3 linked regions of the Arabidopsis thaliana genome follow. The protein of the gene in region 2 interacts with the protein of the main gene of each other region in a pairwise test. Each region holds a gene or a part of one and is shown on either strand. Other genes may lie near its edges.

Region 1 (9,138 bases), on a different chromosome or scaffold from region 2:
TTCTTTCTCCTCGTAGTAAAGATACAAACTGACCCGTACTAGGATTTCCAATCATTGCTTTAGTATTATTTCTACAGAAGATCAAACCCTCGACGGGTGGAGAAAACAGGTACCCTAGATCCGAATTCATAGTACGATGATTAAAAGACGGATCCTCCTGAGAGCAGGAGTGAAAGAGCTGCATCTGCATGTTACGACGATAGACTGTGAAAAGAAGACGCAATTGAGCCAAAGATCAAGTCATGTACAAGTTGGTGAAGTCTTTGCTGCGGATTATCGATGACTAGTGATTCAAAACCTAACCTAGCTAGGCTATGGATTTCGTTGGCAACTTCATTTGAACGCGGTCGTATTCATCTCTTTTTTCTTCTGGTTTCTTAGACTTCCTTGCCCTTTTCTTCATGGTGATTTCACTTCCTCTCATAGAAGTTAAGCCCTTTAATATCTTTTACTCTTAACCTAATAACTTTTCACGGCGATATATACTAATATAGTAATATGTATTCAAAACTTTTTTGAGAATTTGTAAATAAAACCTCATATTTTGAAATTTTAACAGAAAAGTACTCTTTTGTTTTCTTTGGTGTAATGGAAATCCTTTATGAGTAAAAAATGTAATAGAATTAAGATTCGCCACAATATTGTTGCATTAAGTAAGACACTCATCATGATTGGTTCTCACCTTCTTTCTCTCTCGAACTCACTCGATCTCTCTCTTGTGTAACAAACAAAGCATGGAAAAGTAAAGACACAAAGAATATTACAAATTCAGGTTCCAATGTGGAACCCTACATAACATACGAGAAATTCACCAGTATACTTGCTCAGCACTCAACCATGCTTACAATGAGTTTATATCTTCCTCACACTTATATTCGATCTCAATAAAATGGTTCAGAACCTTTTGAATCCACAAGAGACTTTGATTTGTTCAAGCCATATGATCTTCACATAACTAAGTTTCCTCGTCTTTGATGAAGCCTTGGTAACAGACTTTTTACGTTCTTGTTCTCTGATCCTCTGTCTCCAAAGGTGAAGAAGGGCTGATGCAACATGGCAAATCTTGCGATCTTTATGTTTTGTAAGTCCCTCAAGCTTATCCATCATCCTCCTTGGTTCTTTTGGTTTTGGAGTAATGTTGATCTTCATCAATAACGAGAGAGCGTCAATGCAGCGAGACACCTCTGGTTTACCTGAGAGAACACCCTTAGCGTTGGCCACATCAGCAGCTTTCTTTGCTGCTTCGAACAACTTCACCATCTCATCCACTTTCTTCTTCTTCAGCTCCTTTTCTGTTTTAGTCTTCTTTATCAATGAACCATCTTCATGTGGCTTCTTCGTTGTAACATCCTCCAAAGAGACACGCCTTGTCTTCATGTTGAGCTGCTTTAGATTGGTCTTTGTCTCTTTCTTAAAATATTTCTCGACACAAGTCTCAGATCTATGATCCTCTTTCTGTTTCAAAGCCAAAAAGCTGTTCCTTGCTTTATTCTTCTCTGTTTCACGAGTTAATGATCTCTGATCTTCTTTCCTATTCAACTCCGAGAGTTTGATCGTTGTCTTACTCTCTACTGCTTCAACAGTCGTCTGAGATCTCTCGTCTTCTTTATTCTTCAACACCGAAAAGGCAGTGACTTGACGAGCCATAGTTCCCGGTTCTTCTTTCTTCTTCAACTCCGAACACATTTTTAGAACATGCTTCTTCATCTTCAGACGATCTTTGGTAAGAGCAGCTGTGAAAGAGTTGTCGCTTCCATGTGCGTAGAATGTCTTCAACCATGAATGAAACAAGGCTTGGGCTTCCTTACGGATTCTAGGGTTCCTATGACTTCTCAAAGTCTCCAGTTTAACTATTGATTCAGACAATCGTATATCCTTCACGGAAAGAGACAGAGACTTCAAGTGATTCAACACATCGATGCATCGCTCGACTTCGCATGGGTTCCGTGTATTGTAAGTAGCCTTAATTGCAGCAGCAGTCAAGTCGCATAAGTCAGATCTCTCCTTCGCAATTCTCACTCTCATCATCTTTCCGTCGTTCTTGATCATCAGGTGGCTAGGGTTTTCAGTTTATGTTGAAATCTCATACCATTGAATTTCTTTACTGGAAAATTGGTAAAAACGAAGAAACACATAAACCAACACTTCTCTTACCACTCAAGAATCGATACATTCATTAATATTTTACTAACATTATACAAGTAGAGTGGCGAAAGCTTTTACAAGAAACACATAACGTGCATAGAATTCTGAGGTTATAAACTCATTGCTCTGCTTTAATCAGCTTTTGCCATGTCCTATACTGATTGATGTAGTAAAATGTGTTGTAGATGGTTAGTATTTTAGGACTTCTCCCTCATTTTGGCTCTAGCAAATACAACTCCAGCGACAAGACCTGCAAATTAGGCCACCTCAGGTTTAATAATAATACACAACACAAGCGATATGTGTTCCTTCAAGAAGTTGGAAAAGGGAACTGATCGAGAGAACGCTTACCAAAGAGTATGCTTGCTGAGTTCTGCAAACTGGTCGGTACATTGAAAAGAACGATCCCCGCGATGGATAGAGGTATCTTGTTTAGAGATCCCACCAGGCTATGATTTTGAATAAAGCGAAAGATGTATCTAGTTAGGACTGAACCAACAAAGAAGCAAACATAGGAAAGGGATATATGGAGAAGGCTAGGGGACAGCAACACTCTCTTAAGCAAAGTTTTGAAATTGCTCTATCTCTCTCTAATTTGCTACCTGTATGTTGTTGCTCCAGTTTGATGAAGAAACCACATTGAAGTAAAGCTAATGGCAAGCCCTAGAAGTCCACTAAGTGTCATGACCATCCAGAAACTTGGTAATCGTAGAAGTGGCCTGCACAAATATAATACACCATTTTGTTTTCAGATGACACAAACCATTTTCCATTGACACAGAAATAAGGACAGGAACTCACGTTTGATAGAGATAATCCATCTCGTTGAAGAAATAAGAAAGAAGAAGCCCAAGTGGTAATGAAAGTGTGTTATTAAGCAAGACCATGGAGAACTCGTTCAAGTTTCCAGATTGAGTAACCTGCTTGGCCGTATCCATGGTCTTTCTCAAAGTCAGCTGCAAAACAACAAAATATAAGGCAAGTCAAAAGTGGTGGCAAATTTTATAAGAGTATAGTAGCCTAGCTAACAAGCCAAACACTTGGTTTTTGTTGACAGGATATAGGGATAAATTTATGGGAACCTAACAGTCTAACACTCTCGTTTTTTGACCCAGCAATGGAAAACCTAGTGAGAACTGAGAAGTTGATGGTGTCAATTTGCATTCTTTGCCCAAAGTCTTCTCTTTAACATGCTATTCCTACTTCTAACAACGAGTGAAGTACTCAGGTTACCAGTGACAATGGATTGCAAGCTATAAAATTTTCTAAGGTAACAGAATCTCGGTATCTCGTGAGCATCTTAAAACTCAAAAGCAAGCCAGTATCGTAATGATTATAGGGAAGGCTGTTTAGTTTATTGACTTAGTCTTAACCAAACAGCATGTAATACTCGACATGAAAGCATGGTTTTTAAGTGATCTCCTTTTCATATATGTGTTTATTGTTTCAAATGACTCCTAACATTTTGGGAAAAGAAAACACAAATGATCAAATGTTTACTCACCGAGTACGATGCAGTTAAGAAGCAATTAGCAATCTGCCAAGCATAGCCAACAGCATTGAATGATAGGTCTGTTATTCCTCCAGAAACTGCGGAAATTATCTGCAAATGAAGGACGAAAGAAGCACAGGTTAATCAAAACTTTATCCTCTACTTATTCAAGATCTATACAAAAACAAATAGAATATACATATAACAATGAGTAGCCGTGACAAAAAAACATGATTACATTTCCCTGGCAGACTAATTGTGGAAGCAGTTAAAAACATGTATCTCCAACAGTATTGAAAGGTTAGGCTATGCCACACCACTGAAAGCCGCTACGACAAGTGTAACTGTGTACGCACACAAAAGGGTGGATCACTTATCAATAAGAAGATATGCTTTAGACTTTATTGGTTAAGGTTGATGATCAGAGAGTGCTTTGAGAAAACAAGAGAAAACCAAATCCAAAACAGTATAGAATCGTTGTTTGACAAGGATATCTTTCAAAAACTCCAATCAAAATGCTATCTATGTGCAGCTTGAAATAGGTTCCTTGAGAATAGTTTTTTCTCAGGTACAATTTACAGAATCAGTTAGAAATACTTTTAAAGCAGACAAACATACCATTAAGAAGAGAGCAGCCCACACTCTGTTGTCATGTTGCTTGTTGAACAGATACATCTCACCAACTGCAGTTATCACATTAGTGACATTCTTCAGGACAGTGACCATTGCTACATTGATGTATTTCAAACTGTCAAAGAAAATGTAATTCAAATAGACAATCAAGTTCAATCTGCTCTTCAAACACCGCCTACATACACATATACGATACATATCTATATATCTCGACCTACTGTGAAGTAAATCCAAAATATCTATCTGTTTCACCTAAGTGTCTACACGTTATTTAATCCTCGATCTGCTGTAAAGATGATGTACAGATTCTTATAACTACCTTTAGTACTCCAAAAAGTTGACTTTACTAATTTAGTAATCTTATAGGCTTGAGAATTAAGAGAGCATCGATATATAATTCAACAAACCAACACAAAATAAAGGTGTAGAAACACATTCTTACCTAAACATGCTTGTGATAAGCATACCAACAAAGATGACATTCACTGGAAACCAGACCTTCATCAACCTCAAAGTAAGTGGTTCAGTAGTTATTAGACCCATTAAACTCAAACCAACCACAATGATCACCGAGACAAAGTTCTGGTATAACATAAGGAAGATCCCAGCATTGAAGTTGTAGCTGGAGAGAACAAACTTGTTGACAAGTATCATACTGCATGATGAAATGCAATAAGCTAAACCGGATAACAAAGCCCGGTTATGTATCTTTCTTGGAATTGGTTTATCTCCTCCGGATTTTACTGTCTTCCCATCTTCTAAATCAACTCCATCGTGTTCGTACAATTTCATTGCAAAGCTAAGACCTACCAAAGAAACTAACTTCTTTCAAGCTTATATAACTAGATCCATCATTCTTAACAATACACGCACAAAAAAAGTAACAGTTTTACATAAAAACCAATTCGGTTCCAATTCGCAGCTAAAATCAACTTAAGACGAGATTGGATCAAGCAGCAAAGTTGAGAGTAGCTACACAAGCGTTAATCGGAAGTTGTGTAGAGAATAACGAATTTTACCTCGAAGTTGTCCAAAAGCTCGCGAACTAAAGATTCAACTTCGGACGAGATCTAATTGATGACAAGTTACCGGAAAAAAAAAAAACTATGAATCGGAAGAAGAAGAAGAACATGAAACTTGCTCACGCGGAGGATCTTCGTCAGGTCGTGGTGGAGCTATCTGTGAAATGTTGTTTTGAAGAAACAATGGAAATTAGGAAACTGAAAAGACGAGGGAGAGAGATGGCATTGACCAGAAGAGAAAAAAAAAAAAAAAACTGACCAATTTTCGTTTCTTTCGTTTGTTTATTTATATTAAAATTAAGAGTTTCGTAAGTTAGAGGAAGTTCCATTATGTAAAACAAAATAAATTTTCTCAGTGGGTATTTCAAAATTGACAAACTCATCAACTACTCATGTCAAACATGTCTAAATGAATAAATAAAACTAGTATGTATTTCTTGAAATTAAAAATTATTCCAAAGCGAAAAATAGCCTTTTATCTATAAATACAGAATAATATTGATCATTTTTAAGACAATAAAACAGAATAATACTGATCATATACAAATAGGCCATATACAAATATGTCATAACTATACTAAAATTTAAGAAAATATTAGCTATTTAATACTATCAAACAAATCTCTTCATTGAGGTCATTCAACACAAACATTGTTATTTATAAAAAAAGAACACAAACTTTGTTTGGAGTAACTTTGACAGTTACACGTTAAATATGTTCTCTCCTAAGGTATTGAGCTTATGATGTTATTTTGTTAATTTTCATCATTTTATAGTTATTGGTTATTATATAAATCTCTTATATATTGAGAAGAAATAATAATATAAACATAAATTATCTAATTTAGTTATAATGGTTTGGTACCATATGGTCCAAATCACACAATATGTTGTACAATTTGCTTTTTTGGAAAAATGTCATTTAAATCAGTAGTTTACTATTTTTGTTGATTTAAACTATGAGTTCTGTATCTGGTAATTTAAATTCTCAATTTTTATGTTGATTTTCAATTTAATCACGAATTTTCGTTAATTAAGCAAATTGAGGCACAATTTTTTCTCTTTCGCACCATCAATCGACATAGAGATAAGAGATTATTTTGAATTTAAAGAAGAAGAAGGAATCAAAAAAAGGAAAGAATTCAAAAAAGAAAAGAGGGAAAAATGAAAATCGATTTTGGATTCTAGTGTTTATGATTTAAGAAATTTATAATGATGCGTCTTAATTAGTTTAATCAGTGAGAATTCGTATTTAAATTGATAGTCAGTGCAAAAGTGTACTACTGTTATGTGTCTCTAAACTTGGCAATTTGACACAAAATCTGAATGAATAAAAATAAAAGTTTGGCAATAATGGTCCATTTGCCTTTTTGCTTTGTACCATACCGTTGACCTTTCGGCTTAATTCTTTCCACCAGAAATTTTAGCCTATCTATTTTGACTCTTTGACACAGTCCACTTCTAAATCCACTAGCCATAGCCCAAGTTACTCGAGCACGTAAAATAAAATCCTTTAGGCCCAAAAGAACCAGTGTAGCCAAACGCATGACCATTTTGTTTTTTCCGTAACGCATGACAATTTTTATAACAAAAATATATTCACACTCTAATGTTAACGACACTCATCTTGTTCTTGAGAACAAATAGTTGAATATCATTTTCGTATTATAACATTTAATGAAAAGAGTTTTCTATCTCTTCTCTCTTTCATATCTTTTACAGAGAGGGAGCTCTGTTTTTCTTTTGTAATCTCCGTCTTCAATCAGAGCTTTTTGGTTTGTGTTTTAGATTTCCTGTTTTGATGCCGGTTTCTCTTTCCGACTTGTTCGGATTTACTTTCTTTCTTTCTCTTTTGGTTGCCTTTTGCAGGCTCAAATTAACTCTTCCAATTTCGGGAAGATGAAAATTCCAGAAGTCATCAAATGGATCCTTGTTCATTGAGTGCTTGATTCTTCTCCCAAGTGAAGGTAATTCCTTGCTCCGCCAAAAGGGCTTGTTTAGAGCATCGGTTCTCCTTGGTGGATTGATCAAGTTGATGCGGTTGATTGGGACGGAGTATGAAGAATTGGAGTCTTCGTCTTGTTCTGATGAATATTTCGGGCTAATCGGCTGAGGTTACAAATTCTCGTGATCAAGTTTAGGTCCAACCAATCTCTTCTGGTGATCTATGGCAAAAGGCGAGTAGGTACAATCGAAGGCAGAGATAGAGGTTTCTTGGAGGACTGAGTTGATCTGCCGGCTGGTGAAGGAAGTTTCCGGTGATGATGAGTCGGTGACAGCTGATGAAGGAAGTTTCCGGTGATGATGAGTCGGTGACGGCGAAACCTTTTTCTTCTCTCAACATCCCACATTGCATAACACGTATCTCTTTTTTATTTTTCTTATCTTGTGTTTTGCAATTAGTGGGCTAACTTTTGGCCATCTTCTGTACCGAATATCTGCCCATTTGGGCTTTTATAAAACATATTAGGCCGACAAAAAAGAAAAAAAGAAAAAAAAACACCACTTACTATTTTTACTTCTCACTTTATAAGCTTAGAAATAGTATTACCCTCCACATCTCTCTTTTGGTCTCCTTATTTTACACTTACAAGTTTGGCCATCACAAAGTCTGCCAACTTCAAAAAAAGTCTGGCAACTTGATTTCACCATTCGAATCCAGTAATATATTTTTTCCTTTGATCAAAATAAATCTTAAAAGAAAAGAAACAAATGGAGTTCCCTTCAACTTAAAATATTTCATGATAAATATATTACAACCAAAGCTTACATATGCACCATATTTTGTCCATGTAAGACCATCTCCAATAGAGAGAGCCTCCCTATGGGCTCTCTCTATTTTTTTAATACAATTTTATTCAAATTATGTTAAGAGAGCTTATGTTTTTTTTTTTTTTTTTTTTTATAGTCCAATGGTGGACTTTTTCAATGAAGTTCTCAGAAAAAAAAAAATGTGCTTAACATGAAATTTTACTAATTGATTCAAGCAATAACAGATCAACAATGATAGTAGGCTATGATTCTGGTACATGTGATTTTTGAATCTAAAACAGAGTGTGCTTTTCCATGGGATTAAACAATGATAGTAGGCTATAATTCTGGTACATGGGATTTAAACATAGGAATTTATGCATAACTCTACGTGTTAAGCATCTAAATCAAAGTTTTTTTTTTGTTCGTCTGTTCGTCACATATATAAACTTGTATAAATTTTCAAATCAATGAATGAATAAGATGTTAAAAAAAATGTTCGAATGGATAATGGTTTTCGTTAGAAAGAATAAACACAATCAAAGATGAGTCAGTTTAGAATTTAATTTCAGAAACTTTTAATACACATAGTTCTTCTAGATTGGATGTCACGCATTTTGAGAATTTCCTTAATTGTTGTTCATTCTTCAAACAATGTCTACTTGCTAATCCATGCATATACAAAATCGAGTATGCAATGATATGATACCAATGGTATCATACCATATAAAGCAATGTCTACAAAGATTCATACATACTAAAAACTAGGCCATGCATGCATGTTATGATACCATATAAATCAAACAAATTCATTTAACATTGTACTATTGGTAAAAGAAACCAAATTGAGAAATGGACCAAAACAATAAAAACAACAATAATTCGTTAATCCGTTCATAGTTACATTAAATATGTCACAGAAAAACTTGGAATATAACAGAAAATAAAGGAGAAAGACACGGACCTCCATTTGTGAGAGACACACACCTCCCAGTCACACAATCGCTATTTTATTAACCTCTCTTCTTTCGCCACGTGGCATCTCTCTCTAACTGAAAATATTCTCTCATTTCCCTCTTAAAACCGTAAAGCAAC
Region 2 (7,594 bases):
TCAGACCGAAGTAGACTTCTTCTGAATTTTCCCTCTCTTTCCTGTAAGGCCAAGCTGATTTCTCATCGCAGACTCCATAGACAACGCCTTCAGAAAGGAAGAACAAGTTCAGAGTGTCGTCTTTCAGGTAATTTATCCAAACTGAAAGATTAGTAAATGCTTACATTTGATTTTCTTAGAGAATGCCCCTCCAACATGTTTGCTTTTGAGTTTGATCATTACCTGCAAAATCATAAGTAGCATAATAAGCATTGAATCAAAAGTGAACTGAGTTGTGTTATGTGTTATATATAGATACTAATCAAATCTGCTATACCTGAGACTTCTTGTTGATATAGACACAGACACGCTTAGTTCGCTGCACTCCTGCAAGTTAAAGCACAAGGAAGAAGAGTTAAGCTCTCTGTCTTATCTCAGATCCAGTGAACTCTTAAAGTGATCAGACTCGGTGACAGAAGACAATTACCATTTCGTGCACATTGCATCAGTTCGCCTTCAAATGGAAGATTTGGTTCTTCCAATCTATACTGAAAATTTGCATGCCAATGAGAATCAGAGAAACTTCTCTCAAAAGGGGTAATAGCTGCATTTTTCCTTGCTTCCTTTGGCTGCCTCGCCTTCAGAGCCGCTTCTCCTCTCAAAGCTAGTGTCAGTTTAAACAAAGTCAGATCAAATGCATATCAACGAAACTGAAAAAGCCTTGTGAAGCTGCAACAAAGCCTTACCAGTTGCAGCAGCGGCTGTTAGAGTCATGAGATCACCGGGGCTGTGGATATCCACAGAAGATCTAACCGTGGAAGTAACACGTGCATGGTCAGCACCGGCTCGCTCAGCCATCTCAACACAGTGTGAGGCCAACAGTTCAGTGGCTGAGGCTAAAGCCAGTGCCATCTTGGAGCCTGACCCTTTGCAATTGCTAGCAGATGTCACAGAGGCTAAACCTGCAGCCAGAGCCGCTATAGAGACGGCAGAATGCACGTGGGCGTTCTCCACACGCACTTTATCTTTCTTCTTGAGATTGGTAGTAGTACTGCTGGTGCTGTGTTCCTTGTTGTGGTGAAACCATTTAGACAATGTCCCTGCTCTACGTGTGCCAACAGAGTTCATGATCTTCCCAGCCTAGAATCAAAATCCCAAAGTTGTAAAATATGAAAAGAGTCCACTATTATTATCCATTCCAATTCCCAAGAACTATGTTAGGAACTGGTGCAATGGCAATCATATACAATTGAAAAGTCTCTGACTTTTAAGGCTCATCATAATTCTAAGAAATAGTTGGAAAAAGGGTTTCATTGGAATTTGGAAAAGGGATAAAAGGATCGTACCACGAGTGGATCTGCAGCAGCATCAGGGAACAAAACAGGAGGACTGTTCTGGCCAACACAAAACTGATCTTGTTGTTGTCTATGTTTGAGAGCAAGTGCTTTGGAGATTTCAGAAGTAGAGAGACTCCAGGATCTAGACAGAAACTCCATTGGCTCTTTAGGTGTCTGAGGTTGAGGAATCGATGAGAAAAGCTCTTCAGCTCTAAGAACTCCATCTTCCAACTCTTCCTCCATATTCTCTGATCCAAAGAACGAAGAAGAAGAAGTATCTTTCCAATCTGAATAAAAGCCACTTTCCATTTTCTCTCCTAAACGAATCTTCCGATGGAAAATGAAGTTTTCTTGAATATGGAAAGATGACGTGTGATCAGAAGATGGTATTTATTGTCCTGGTGGAACAAGAGTTATGTTCTGAACAAAACCATGTGATCAAAACAGAGAACCAGCTCTGAGTTTCAGAATTAAAACTTGAAAAAAATGAACTGTAAAACTGAGAAAAAGAAAAATATAAAGAAAATGATTTTAAAAGGAAAAAGCTTTTGAAGATGAAAAGGATGATGTTGACTCAGGTGGAAGAGAAGAGGAAGAGCATAAACCTAACTTATACAATAAGAGAATCTTTTTTCTTCTTTTTCTATGAGAAAAGAGAATTATTCAAACCACGAGTCCCAAAAGTACGTGCAGACTAATCAATAATATAGATTACAATAAAAATCTGGATAAGTGTTTAATTTACCGTAAGAGTCTTGCAAATTTTAAGAACTCGTCTCCATGTTCTTTATATAGGTGTGGAGAAAGAGAGGATAATGTTATGGTTAAGAACAATGTCCATGAATTCAGGTAATATCTTAATCTGGTGGGACGGTTTGTGAAACCACAAAGAGACGACAAAGGCATTGGTTTAAGAGCATTTTGTCTTTTGAGCGGACGGCTCTCACACGATTCATTCCCCCACAACCGACCAGCTTCCTTCAAATAATAAACCATACGTAAAGAGACCATTTCGTTTTTCTATTAATGTACTCTGTCGTTTCATCGTTTGGTTTGGTTTCACGGGATAACGAATTTTTAAAATGTCTTTCTAGCATTACTATTTGTATCACTTAAGTTGAGTACTCTTAAACGGTTGTTTAAACAATAGTAGTGTCTCCAGCCAATAAGACCAATTTGTGTATTAGCTTGAGTTTATGAATTTTAATTGGATTCTAATGGGCCCTTTTCAGTATTAGGCCTTGGATAAGGAAATATTGGCCTTTCCACAAAACAAAAAATTGAGCAATTTGGGATATCTTGAATCTATGGATTTTTTTGTCAACCTTTCAAGCATATATTTGAAAGATTCCCCAAAACATATTTTCTTATATACATGTGTGATGTGATTTTAATATCAAAAGGTTGGAAGTGTTTAATTGGACAGTTAAAACCGGTTATTTTTAGCCATTAACACATGCAAGAAAGTACAAGGCAGAGATATAAAATTTGAAAATATACAATTCTTATTTATAACCAACACAAAGTACAACTTTGATCTTTTTCTCCACATTCAATCATTCATTTTTGGAAGAAACGAGGACCAAACATTTTCATACAACAAAAAGCAAGCCAAGCAAATTAAAACGCTATAGGATTGATCAAGGGTAGCTTTCTGTGGTGGGAGCTGGAGCGTAGGATCCGATGAAGACGTCTCCGTAGATGAGTCCAGCAAGTGCACCACCGACTAGTGGACCCACCCAGTAGATCCATATCTGAGAGAAGTCACCACTGACAACAGCTGGTCCAAATGACCTGGCCGGGTTCATGGAACCACCGCTAAAGGGACCCGCTGCGAGGATGTTGGCACCAACGATGAAACCGATAGCAATTGGAGCAATGGTCCCGAGTGAACCTTTCTTTGGATCAGCCGCTGTGGCGTAGACTGTGTAGACCAGAGCAAAGGTCACCACAATCTCCATCACTACTCCTTCAATAGCTCCTAAACCGGCCGCTACTCCATGAGTCGGTACGCTCTGCATAACCGGGAAATAAACACATTCTCGGTTAATCCATATACCTTTTAAAATCAAACTGGATCTTAAGACCGGCATAACATTTTTTAGTCACGGTCGTTTGGACAAAACAGTCATAATCAGAAATAACACATGACTTAAATAAATAGTATTGAATAAATTACGAATGTTTTTGTGTACCTCGCCATTGGTAACGAAGACGAGGAGGAGACACGCGACGATGGAGCCAAGGCATTGAGCAATCCAGTAAAAGAAACCGGTTATTACTGTGATGTTGCCACCGACGGCGAGACCGAGTGTCACGGCGGGGTTAAGGTGTCCGCCGGAGATGTTGGCGGCTATGGAAACACCAACGAAAAGGGCAAAGGCGTGAGCCACAGCGACAGCGACAAGACCAGCGGGGTCCAAGGCTGCATCGGATGTGAGCTTGGCAAAAGCAAGAGCAGAGCCAACGCCAGCAAACACAAAGAGAAGAGTTGCGATAAATTCAGACAAGTAAGCCTTAAGAGATGCTACACTAAAGGAGTCACCCACACTTCCTATCTCAATCTTCACCATTTTGATCCGACAAAATAACTCTGTTTTTCGACTTTGGTTGATTACAAGTTATTTCTATTTGTGTGGTTTTGGGCATACTAATGCTTGACTTTATATATAGCAAAGAGCCAAACGAGGTAATGAAGTTGTTGGTCCCACTCTACGTGGCCTGTCACAATTGGATGCCGCCCAAACCGCCAATTATTTAGACTATTCATTTTCTTTTGAATTTTGAGGGTTAGTGACATCGAAGATGATTAAAGACAACCAATTGGTATAATGCTATGAAAATGATGGATAAGGTATTTCATAATATGTGAAGATAAGAGTGTTCTGTTGTCATGTTAATATCCTGCATTTAAACTAATGTTGTCTCACACCAATTATGATAGATGGTCGTATTCTTTTATATCTATATATATTTTTTTTGGTTACAATTTGTATTTTTTAGTTTGGGAGGTGCTAAACGCCTAAAATATTAATAGGGATTAGGAGTTAATTCATGTACCACCGCTGCTTTGTTTGGAGTTGGTGTGTAAGAGATATTGGCATATACATGTAATAAAATTGCAACAAACAGAAAACTTAAGATCTTAGAAAAGTGATCCAAAGTAGTGGTGACATTAAATAAAAATTTGCAGAGAGGATGGTTGTTTATAATACTTTCTCCGCCCCATGAATTTTAAAAGTAATATTTTTAGTATATGGTTTATGGATAGTTTTTTATTATCATGAATTTAATTTGCAGTATAGAACAACGAAGTGGAATGCTCAATCCTAGATTAAACCGATCCCTGACAAATGTTTTTCCACCCACTACCGCTTAAAAGTTGAAAATTATTCCATCCCAGTAAACTGATATTATGAACCAAACGTCCAAACTCAAATAATCGATCTGAAAATGAACTATATTTTTTTTAAAATTATGAATTCATTTTTCCTATTCAAAATATTGAATTCGAATCCAAACTAAACAAACAGAAAGAAAAACCTGATTTTAAATCCAATTTTGTTTTCAAGTTAAATAAACATTTGATTAAAACTTGAAGTCGAACCAATACCAATACGAAACCGTACCAAACCATCTATGGTACAAATACTATCATTCATAAACCAAAATACCAAAAAAACCTAACAGAAAAAAATTATAAAGTGGGCCTAAGCCCATATAAATATCCCAATGGATTCCTTTTGATCTGATGGTCCAAAAGTCCAATCCGTCAATTGCCTAACACACAAAAGCCTCTATCTATTAGTTAGTGAGTGACATGTCTCTTCTCTAATTTTATCCTTAAGACACTTTCCATTTTGTTTAGCCAACCAATCATCTTCATTACACTAATCAGTAGTCAATAGTCATTTCAACAATAAATCTTCTAACTTTTACCACAGTCACGTCAAACAAAAGTTGTTTTCTTTTACCTCTTGGTCATTTAATTTTCTTTTAACGGAACTCTAGCCAGTAAATTACACTAAATTTTAACGTACGTTAATTTAAAAGTAAAAAACCTTTCGCGTCTTTTTGTTTAAGTTCAATATTAGCCACACGATCCAGAAAATTCGACACGTGTCACTATGGATTAAGCGGCATCAGTATCCATCTTTATTTTCTCTCCAAATATTTATTTAATTTTGGGCTTTACTTAAACCAGACTCATTTCATTTGCCGAGGAAAGCGAATATAATTTATCGGGCATTTCTCTCCCAATCTGCTTCACTCGCCAAACCTCGTTTCTTCGCCGGAACCCTAGGTCACCTCCGTCAGTTTGAATTTTCCGGTGAGTTTAACTTCTTCGCTAGCGTTTCAATTTATCATTTTAAGAAAGTTCACTCTTTTAGGTTTTCGTGTGCCCTTGAATTTTGAGAAGGAAGAGATTTTATAATTGACGCGTATGGTTTTGTTGTTGGTGGAGCAGTAGTAGATGAACGTGCGATTAGGTAACAGTTGAGGTCTGACGGCCAGGTTTTCTTGTCACCGAATGGAGGGAGGTAGCGTCTCCATACACTCTTGTGTCGGTACTTTTCGCTTTCCTACTGTTTTACTCCACTCGACAAGAAAATGACCAGAGTCGCTTCTTTAAATATGTTTCACGGTTGTTGTGTTATGCTTTTGTTTCTTTTGGTTGTTTGATGTTTATATATGTCTCTGATTTCAGGAATAAACTCATGGATTATGATGACAGTGACTTTCAAAACCAGAATCTCCATTTAGCTGGTGAAGCCAACAACAAATTTCCACCAGTTTTACAGCCTTATGCTCTTCCAAAGTTTGATTTTGATGATACACTCAACACGCATCTGAGGTTTGATAGTTTAGGTGAATCTGAAGCTTTTCTTGGTATTGAGGGTAACGAAGATAATAACTGGATTGAGGATTTCTCTCGTGGAAGTAGTGGTATAGTGTTTAGTTCAGGTGCAACGGAGTCCTGTGCCATTTCTAGGCACAATAATGTTTGGTCTGAGGCTACTTCGTCGGAATCTGTTGCAATGCTTTTGAATTCAGTTGGACAGGACGAAGTTATTGTAAGAGAGGATACTATCAAGAAATCTGACACTTCTCATGAACTAGGCTGCACAATGGAAACAGTAGAGCCTGGTCAGACATCCCATGAAAGAAGTCTTTCCAAAGAGGAAACGGTGAACTTACAACCCAACCCCTCTGTGGATGATACTCCAGGAGAGTCCTCTGTGGTAAAGACAGATGATGGACAGGAGCAGGTTCTGGTTAAAGATGACTCACCAACGGCTGTAGAAGAGGCATCTGTGGAGGAAAAGAATTCCATCTTGACTTCTAATACCGCGACGGTAGAGGCTATAGATACTACTGATCTTGGTAAAATAGGAACTGAGACGACGGATAATCTTCTTGACCAAACAGAAGAGAAAGCCAATGTAGAATCAAGGATGGAAGATGATTGTAGCGATGGGAATGTACAGACTATTATTACTTGTAGCGGTGAGTTGAATAATCAGAGCACTTTACTTCCAGAGACTTCCAATGATGAAAATGTTATCAGCGACCACATTCAAAGTAGTTATAACCGCAATGATCTAACTGCAGATGCACGGTCAATTTTGGTTGAAGGTCATTCTGATAGCCATATAGACTCAGCTTCCGAAGTTGAAAAAGTGGAAGCTGAAAATATTGGCAAAACTGCAAAGCCTGATTTGAAGGAGATAGAGCTATCTGATGTCACAGTACTAGAAAGAGGGGACCAAGCTCCCTCTACTCTTGAGGTAGGTGGACAAGATGTTTCTGGGACCGAATGCCAAGATCTCCTTGTCAGCACTGTTCATACTAGCGTAGCTGTTGAAGCGTCTTTGGAACTTGCTGGGGAATTGACAACTATAACAAACAGTGTTTCCATTGAGAAGCCCGAGTTGCTTAGTCATCAACATATGGAAGTTATTACAAGTGAACATGAGTCTACTTTTCAGATAGAGACTGAGACATATCCGCAGATACACGTATTTGAAACTTCAGAGAGTGTTTATATTTCAACGATGGACTCAATGGTTGAAGCTAGAGAAGGTGGTGTGTCTAAGAAGAGTGACAATGAAGGTAGTGCTCGCACTTCTAATCTCGAGCAAAGCATGGAACTGCCTGTCAATGCCAATGATAGAGATCAAGATGTCAAGAACTCTCAGATCCTATCTGAAAGCGTTGTGTCTGGTTCTGTTGGCTATGTTTCAGGAGGCTCTACTTCAGAGTTGGCGGAGTCAGAA
Region 3 (7,988 bases), on a different chromosome or scaffold from region 2:
ACACTCTAGTTGACCTAATGTTTGGATTTAGGGTTAAGAACCACGGAAACCCTAATTAATGCGAGACGTATATATTTATACTGACGATATAACATCAAAACCCATCGATTAAAATTTAACCAATGATATATTTGAACATGTTGCTCACTTTACCTTCATACAAGAGTACCGTATCTTACAAGTTTATAAACCAAAGTTGTGAAGCTTTTAGTCTGTAGATGTTTCTGTGGAATGCATTTTTAGTCATTTTCGATGTCCCGATGAGGCCATCAGAACCGCGACTGCAGCTATGAACATAAATAGCATACTGATAAGAAGTGTATATGTTTTTCTTGATGATCTTTTGTATTCTCCAAACAGCAGTATCCCCCAAAATGTTTATTTTCAATCTTTAAATCATTGAACAGAAAAGAGGTCTTAAACCTGAACAGCTCCTGCAGCAGCATAACCAGCGGCTTGACCGCCCATAAACTGAAGACCATTACCAAATCCACAGAGAAATCCAGCCAAGAAAGACCAGCCTCGACCGTTCCAGTCATTTAGGTAAGCCTTGAAAGATGATCTTGGGAGACCAAGTATAGGCCAATAGAGAAATATGATGTTTAGTATCAGACCAACCCCAAATGAAGAGATGGAGAAGTAGAAGAAGGCTGTGTACACATTGAGTTTTGGAACTCCATGTTTCAAAGTGTGCCAACTCCATGTTTCAAAGTGTGCCATTGATCGTTTGTCGCTAAGCTTACTGCAGGTGAGATTAGAGAGAAACAGATACCGGCAAAGAATGTTATCGCCAGTCCAATTATTGTGCTTTTCCCAAAAACCTGTCAACGCAAATCTTGAGTATCAGTGAATATCAGTTATTTCTGTTTAGGAAAATGCTGTGTGTATTATTATTAACCTTTATGGCTCTTTGTTTCTCAACCTCAATAAGAAAATCTGCAGTCCCTACTTTTGCTTTTCCTTCTTTTATAGAACTTGTTTCCATTTGGAAGGAAGAAGTAGTCTCTAAACTGAAACAAGATCAGATTAGGTTAAAAACCAAACCAAAAGAAAACAAAACAAAGACCTAGTATAGTGAATCTTTTTTTAACCTTTTGAATCCTTGGAGTTTGGATTTGTTATCAGCTGCATTTGATTTATGAACAGCAGAACCGAAACAAACAGCGATCAAGAAACAAGCGACCCCCGGGAAAAGGACCTCAGCTCTGTTGATTCTATCATCCAAGAAATAGTTCAAAGTTGTGCCTGTTGTTGAAAACAAAAGAGTTAATAAGAACAGAGGAAAAAAATCAGTTAAGAGTAGTTGAAGAGAAGAGTTTACCGATAACAACGGCGATACTAGCTGTGATGACTTCAGTGACAGATAACCCAACAAAAGCCCAAGCATATTGTGTTGCTAAGGTCCCAAGGCTAAGAAATATTCCTCCAGCCATTGCAAACATCACAGACGGCCAATTATCCTGTGACAAAAAAACTTTGCATTTCAAAAACCAACAACAAATATGTGTATGAATGTATGTGTAACTGACTTGAGAAAGCTGTGTGGTGAAATTTGGTCTGCTTGGACTTATTTCGCCTAGTGTAAACGCTATGATAACTGCAGCTAACAGGTTTGTCAGTGTGTAGTCAAGATAAGTATGTTGAGGAAGTCTACCGCGTCTTTCGGTTAGAGTCATGATTGCTGGCCATGTCCCTAAGAAGAGCAGAGCCAAGAGCATACAAGTGATTGTTCCTCCTTTGCTCTCTATCACATACATTTTATAAAATCACCAAATCCCACTGCATCAAAGTAAAGAAGTGAGATTCTTCTGTTATCATATCATTGATCTCTCGTGATAAAAATGAAGCTAGTTGTCTTAAGAAAGGTTCTTTAGAACATTAACACAAGACACATGCTGATACAAGAAGATCTCTATAAAACTCAAACCTTATATTCCATTAAATTTCCCTATTGACTAGGTTTCTTGAAAGAGATTACCTTATTAAAGCTTTTGTCTTAACTTTGACTTTGAGGAAGACCAGAGAACAACAGATACAGAAGAAAAAAAACTTAGTCTCTCATTTGATTGGCAGATCCAGATTCAGGAAGAAGTTAGTTTCCCATTTTCTATAAAATAAATAAATCTCAAGTTGCCATAAACTATAGTTTTCTTTCTCTGATGTGTAAACAAAGACAATACAACCAATTGTTGTTAGCAAAGCCCTAAGACAGAAACCAACAAAGAAAACACTTTGGTTAAATATAAACAAAGACTTGAACATGTTGCAGCCATTGGTGAAGTAACTCTTCCTTCAATGGATCCTTTTAGCAGTTTAACTTGAAGAAGTTTCAGTGAATTTCATTTTCTATGTCCCGAGGAAGCCATAAGAACCGCGACAGCGACTATGAACATAAGAAGCATACTGATGAGAAGTGTATATGTTTTTCTTGATGATCTTCTATATTCTCCAAACAACAATATCCCCCAAAATGTACTCACAAGTGGAAGTGCCTGAAACATATTCAAATCATAATAAGTAAAACATATTTCACTCTTAAATCATGGAACAGAGGATTTGTTTATTGTCTAAACCTGAACAGCGTCTGCAGCTGCATAGCCTGCGGCTTGACCACCCATGAACTGAAGACCATTGCCAAATCCACATAGAAATCCAGCCAAGAAAGACCAGCCTCGACCGTTCCAGTCATTCAAATAAGCCTTGAAAGAAGATCTTGGGAGACCAAGTATAGGCCAATAGAGAAATCTGATGTTAAGTATCAGAGCAACTACAAATGCAGAGATGGAGAAGTAGAAGAAGGCAGTGTACACATTTAGTTTTGGAACTCCATGTTTTAATGTGTGCCATTGATCGTTTGTTGCTAAGTTGAATGCAGGTGAGAACAGAGAAAAGCAGATACCGGCAAAGAAAGTTATCACCAATCCGATTATTGTGCTTTTGCCAAAGACCTGTCCTCAATGCCAATCATGAATCTTCAGAGAACATATATACATATCAGTTATATCTGTTAGGGTAAAGGAAGAGTAGTATGTTTCAACCTTTATAGCTCTTTGCTTCTCAAGCTCTATGAGAAAAGCTGCAGTCCCTTCTTTCGCTTTCCCTTTTGTTAACCCGTTGCTTGCAGAAATTGTTTCCATTTCGAAGGAAGAAGTAGTCTCTAAACTGAAACAAGATCAAGATTAGTACCAAACCAAACCAAACGGAAACAACAATAGATATGAATCTTTTTCAAACCTTTTGAAATTTTGGAGTTTGGTTTTGTTATCAGCAGCATTGGATTTATGAACAGCGGAACCGAAACAAACAGCGATCAAGAAACAAGCGACCCCCGGGAAAAGGACCTCAGCTCTGTTGATTCTATCATCCAAGAAATAGTTCAAAGTTGTGCCTGTACTAGAAAACAGAAATGGTCATAAGAACAGAGAAGAAACAGAGGAAAAAATCAGTTAAGAGTAGTTGAAGAAAGAAGAGTGTACCGATAACAACAGTGATACTAGCTGTGATGACTTCAGTAACTGATAAACCAACATAAGCCCAAGCATATTGTGTTGCTAAGTTTCCAAGGCTAAGAACTATTCCTCCAGCCATTGCAAACATCACTGACTGCCAATTATCCTATGATAAAAAAAAAAACCGCGGTTATACAATAGTTTTCGACAAGATGTCTAAGGAGAAGTAAGAAGATGTGACTGACTTGAGAGAGCTGTGTAAAGAAATTTGGTCTGCTCGGACCTATTTCTCCTAGTGTCAACGCTATGATCACTGCAGCTAACAGATTTGTGAGTGTGTAGTCAAGATAAGTGTGTTGAGGAAGTCGACCGCGTCTTTCGGTTAGAGTCATGATTGCTGGCCATGTCCCTAAGAAGAGAAGAGCCAAGAGCATACATGCAATTGCTCCTCCTTTGCTCTCTATCATATACATCTTTCTATCTCTCTTTTATATACTTATAAAAATCATGAAAAAAACTCTGCACCAAACAAGATTCTTTTGGTTATCTGATCTTCGACACACATTAATGATCGATCAAACTCAAATTGAGGATTGTGATCTTTAGACAACCGCAAAGGCAAGGCAAGAGTCAAAATCTATTGGGTTTCTAGAGAAGCAATGAAGAACAGAGAGAGTACTAAAAAGTAAACATCTTTGACTAATAATGAGTTTCTTGAAAGAGATTATTATTACCTTTTGGAAGCTTCTGTTCTAACTCTAACAAAGAACAAAGACAGAACAAGAGAGAACAACTTTTGATTCTTCCCTTTGGGGAGATTCAGAATAATTGCTAGTGGCTCTCATATTATTGGCAGATTCGGATTCCATGAGATATGACACCTTCCTCGATATATTTTTCAAGATAATTTTGTAGTATAAAATAAATAAAATGAATCTCGAGTTGCGTTCCGATTAGGTTCCTAGTTGATCATAAGTCAACGGCTGACACAATCTTGTCTTAAAATCATTATAAAAAAAAAAATTCAAAACAAAAAGGTGAAGTAAAAGTATGTAACAATAATCAATAATCTTGATGTAGTGGCGCAAAGTATACTGATAAAGCTTGCTGTTCTTGTAAGCTAAATCCCCAAACATCGGAGCTGATGTCCCATACTTATCATTCCAGTTCCACCAAGAATCATCTCCTTTCTTGTATGTGAACAAATAACTGTTGTGTAAAGTCCAAGCAATTAAATAATCCACTGTCCTCTCATCTATCCAAGACCAACTGATCTTGTTATTCCCAACATGTGTTTGGACACGCAATACTTACCAAAAGGATGGAGGACGAACCATCCCCACTTGCCTTGTCTATTATAGTATCTGCTTGGCTCGAATCTTATTTTTCCACCGCGAACTGACGACTCCATTGACGGAAGATTGATCTTTAATAAGATTCGAATCAAGACGAGACTTGTTAAAGTTTCAAATCCTTAAACTCTAGAAACTCTAGATCGTAATGATAGAATCGATTACGTAACTACAAAGAGAAGATAAGAATCGTTATGTTTAGATCAACATAGATATAAGCAACCGATGACCAAGAGATCAACATTGATCTCTTCCTCTGGCACATCACAAGGCCAATTCTCTCTCGAGAAATATCACAACATAAAAAGCATAAAATCCCCAGATAAGAACAGAGTCAGTATTTATAGAAGAAGAGTTTCAAGGCCTCTAACTGGAAAGAGTATTTGCCCTCATTTGTTAAGTCAACTCAGTCAACACAGTAGTTGACTTCCTCTTTTCTCTTCTCAGCTTCGCTTAGCCCAATCTTCTCAGCTTCTTTCTCTAGTAGTCGACCTTATAAACCTATCAAGAATCTACCATCAAGAGCCAGTTTCCGGAGCTAGCCATATAATAGCTATTGTCAGAGAGTCCGAGGAGTTTTGTCCCGTAAATCTTGTCTTCACCGGGATCAAACAAACTGGAAGAATCATCATCGTAGTATATGATCCGCCATGGATACAGAGGCCGTTTCACGCATGTTTTCCAAACGAAATACCAATCTGAGCAAACGAGTTTTGCTTGGTGGTAGTCAATAGAGTTCAAGCTTTCAATGATTTTTCGCAAAAGGTCAAGACAAAGCTTGGACCAGTCGTGATGATGAGATACTTTTGGTCAGTTTTCTTCTCTCATCAAATCGTTACGCGCATCCACCTTGATGATCTTTAGGTAAATAAAGATCAATATTTTCATGGTCTTTTGCAAAGATCGCGCGGGACAAATTAAAGTTTGGACCAACCGTGATTATCAAACACTTTTGGTCTTTTCTCTTCTCTCATCGACATATCCATGTCTGCGCCTACTTGCCCTATACGCTAAAGTAACTAAGGTTTTGTTTTAGGGATTAGAACGAACGCCTATTAAGTTTAACTATTTTTATACATTTACATATAAGTAAGGTTCCCTCAAACTCATACCGTAAAAAACTGACAAGTGGTGTTTGATTCATTTGACATATGTCATTCCTCTCAAATTTAAATATACTATTTTTATATTTACTCAATCTAATAATAGTTTTATACTAAACAAATCTATTGAATTATTCTAGTGAATAACTTCCCTGCATATTAGATCTTCTCGATAGCCAGATAGTTGGTGGTCGTATATCAGCTAAAGAGCTTACTTTTGTTGTTGTCTTAATATTTTTGCAATGCTCTTTTTACAATGAGAAATTCCTAAAAATAGCATTAAAACTGGTTTTATGGACAATAATAGCACACATTCCATAAACTTTCAAAAATAGCACTACTTGACTTATTATGAAGTTTTTTTCTAAAAGTATTATCACTAATTTATTTTTTGAATAATATCATAATTTTTATATAAAATCTATTCAACCAAAATAAATTAGAAATAAATTAAAATATTATATTTGGATTCTCTATTTTCAATTTAGGGTATATATTTCAACCATTTAAAAACAAATTGATTCATTTTAATATTAGTTTATGGTATTATATTTGAGTTCCCTATTTCTAATTTAGGGTATATATTTTCACCATTTAAAGGAGATTTTTCATTTTAATATTAGTTTGTGGTATTATATTTGGGTTATCTATTTCTAATTTAGGATATATATTTCTACAATTGTTTTATTCAATTTAATATTAGATTAGTGTTTGCTCTCATTTTTATTTTCAATCTTATATTTTAGTTAAGTTTAATTGAACTTTATCGTGCTATTTGTGAAATCTCAGAAATATTGTGCTAATTTTGGAAAAAAACTCTTTTTTGGTGCTATTTTTGTCAATTGTCTTTTTATAATTAACTAGATAAGGCCCGCCTAAATAGGCGGGTGAGAAAAAAAAAATGCTAATTTTAATTTATGATATATGAGCTCTAAATCGTAGTTAACACACTTTTTATATTTAATATAATATTTAAAAGAAAAAACAAATTTCAATCTTACACATTCTATTTTGCTAATTTTAACTAAAGAAAATATTTATTTTAGGATAGGTGTATCATGAATACGAACATCAGATTTCTCAAAAAATATTATATAGCCAATTACATCGGTATGACAAAACAACATTAAATTTAAATAAATCTATACTTACTTAAAATTTGAAATTTGAAATTCAGTATATGTACCTATAACTGTTGTGTCATATCTTACAATTTTGCAAAATCCTTGTTTTGTTTTGCTAATTTTAACTAAAGAAAATATTTATTTTATGATAGATGTATCATGAATACGAACATCAGATTTATCAAAAATATTTGTTTAATATATAAATTTATAAACATTAAACAACTTATTGAAATTTGAAATTTGAAATTTGAAATTCAGTATATGTATTGTCTAATTGTTGTGTCATATCTTTCCATTTTGCAAAATCCTTGTTTTGATTACACATTTGTTTATAAATTTATCTTCTTTACTTTTGAATCTTTTTTATTATTTAATTATAAGAGACATAGTTTTTTGGGAAATTCTTCAAAATAGCACTAAAACAAGTTTTATGGACAATAATAGCACACACTCCATAAACTTCCAAAAATAGCACTAATTGACTTACTCTAAAGTTTTTGTTCTAAAAATATTATCACTAATTTACTTTTTGAGAAATTCCCACAAATAGCACACTTTTAAGTTTTTTGAAAAAAATAGCATTAAAAAGTTTTTTAGACATAAATAGCACTCAAATAATTATTTGAGAAATTCTTAAAAGTAACACAAAAACAAGTTTTATGGACAATAATAATACCACAATTTTATATAAAAATATATTCAACCAAAATAAATTAGAAATAAATTTAAAATATTATATTTGGGTTCTCTATTTCTAATTTAGGGTATATATTTCCAACTATTTAAAAGAAATTTTGATTCATTTTAATATTAGTTTATGGTATTATATATGGGTTTCCTATTTTCAATTTAGGGTTTATATTTTCAATCATTTTAAAGAGATTTTTCATTTTAAATTAGTTTGTAGTATTATATTTGGGTTTTTTATTTCCAATTTAGGGTATATATTTTCACTAT

Evidence for each region. Proteins that work in one complex are often made in the same cells at the same time.
Region 1: the proteins of TIP2;2 (region 2) and GONST1 interact in a protein complementation assay, tested with the Arabidopsis thaliana proteins (one large-scale study listed by BioGRID).
Region 3: the proteins of TIP2;2 (region 2) and UPS1 interact in a protein complementation assay, tested with the Arabidopsis thaliana proteins (one large-scale study listed by BioGRID).

The regions. Positions count from the first base shown.
Region 1 is NC_003071.7:5,685,242-5,694,379, forward strand, and holds GONST1 (golgi nucleotide sugar transporter 1), read right to left. Parts: upstream 5,531-9,138; 5' UTR 5,290-5,530; intron 5,077-5,289; 5' UTR 5,063-5,076; coding exon 4,713-5,062; exon of another isoform or gene 4,469-4,712; coding exon of another isoform or gene 4,386-4,468; coding exon 4,256-4,385; intron 3,749-4,255; coding exon 3,650-3,748; intron 3,102-3,649; coding exon 2,947-3,101; intron 2,865-2,946; coding exon 2,748-2,864; coding exon of another isoform or gene 2,744-2,747; exon of another isoform or gene 2,595-2,743; coding exon 2,497-2,594; intron 2,396-2,496; coding exon 2,343-2,395; 3' UTR 2,075-2,342; downstream 1-2,074. Other genes in the region: AT2G13630 (F-box associated ubiquitination effector family protein), read right to left, coding at 1-190; AT2G13640 (Transcription factor IIS family protein), read right to left, coding at 895-2,049; AT2G13660 (uncharacterized protein), read right to left, coding at 7,051-7,376, 7,441-7,648. UniProt on the Arabidopsis thaliana protein: Involved in the import of GDP-mannose from the cytoplasm into the Golgi lumen. Required for the luminal synthesis of a variety of plant cell surface components. Is required for the correct mannosylation of the glycosylinositol phosphoceramides (GIPC).
Region 2 is NC_003075.7:9,695,613-9,703,206, reverse strand, and holds TIP2;2 (tonoplast intrinsic protein 2;2), read right to left. Parts: upstream 4,268-7,594; 5' UTR 3,890-4,267; coding exon 3,512-3,889; intron 3,332-3,511; coding exon 2,957-3,331; 3' UTR 2,735-2,956; downstream 1-2,734. Other genes in the region: AT4G17350 (auxin canalization protein (DUF828)), read right to left, coding at 1-87, 165-222, 317-366, 467-643, 726-1,119, 1,326-1,625; G2484-1 protein, read left to right, coding at 6,035-7,594. UniProt on the Arabidopsis thaliana protein: Aquaporins facilitate the transport of water and small neutral solutes across cell membranes.
Region 3 is NC_003071.7:1,091,063-1,099,050, reverse strand, and holds UPS1 (ureide permease 1), read right to left. Parts: upstream 4,350-7,988; 5' UTR 3,923-4,349; coding exon 3,695-3,922; intron 3,616-3,694; coding exon 3,477-3,615; intron 3,389-3,476; coding exon 3,235-3,388; intron 3,163-3,234; coding exon 3,039-3,162; intron 2,949-3,038; coding exon 2,574-2,948; intron 2,493-2,573; coding exon 2,340-2,492; 3' UTR 2,075-2,339; downstream 1-2,074. Other genes in the region: UPS3 (ureide permease 3), read right to left, coding at 418-807, 899-1,010, 1,092-1,245, 1,322-1,460, 1,530-1,757; AT2G03580 (F-box family protein-like protein), read right to left, coding at 4,570-4,658, 4,764-4,875, 5,318-5,499, 5,736-5,787. UniProt on the Arabidopsis thaliana protein: Proton-coupled transporter that transports a wide spectrum of oxo derivatives of heterocyclic nitrogen compounds, including allantoin, uric acid and xanthine, but not adenine.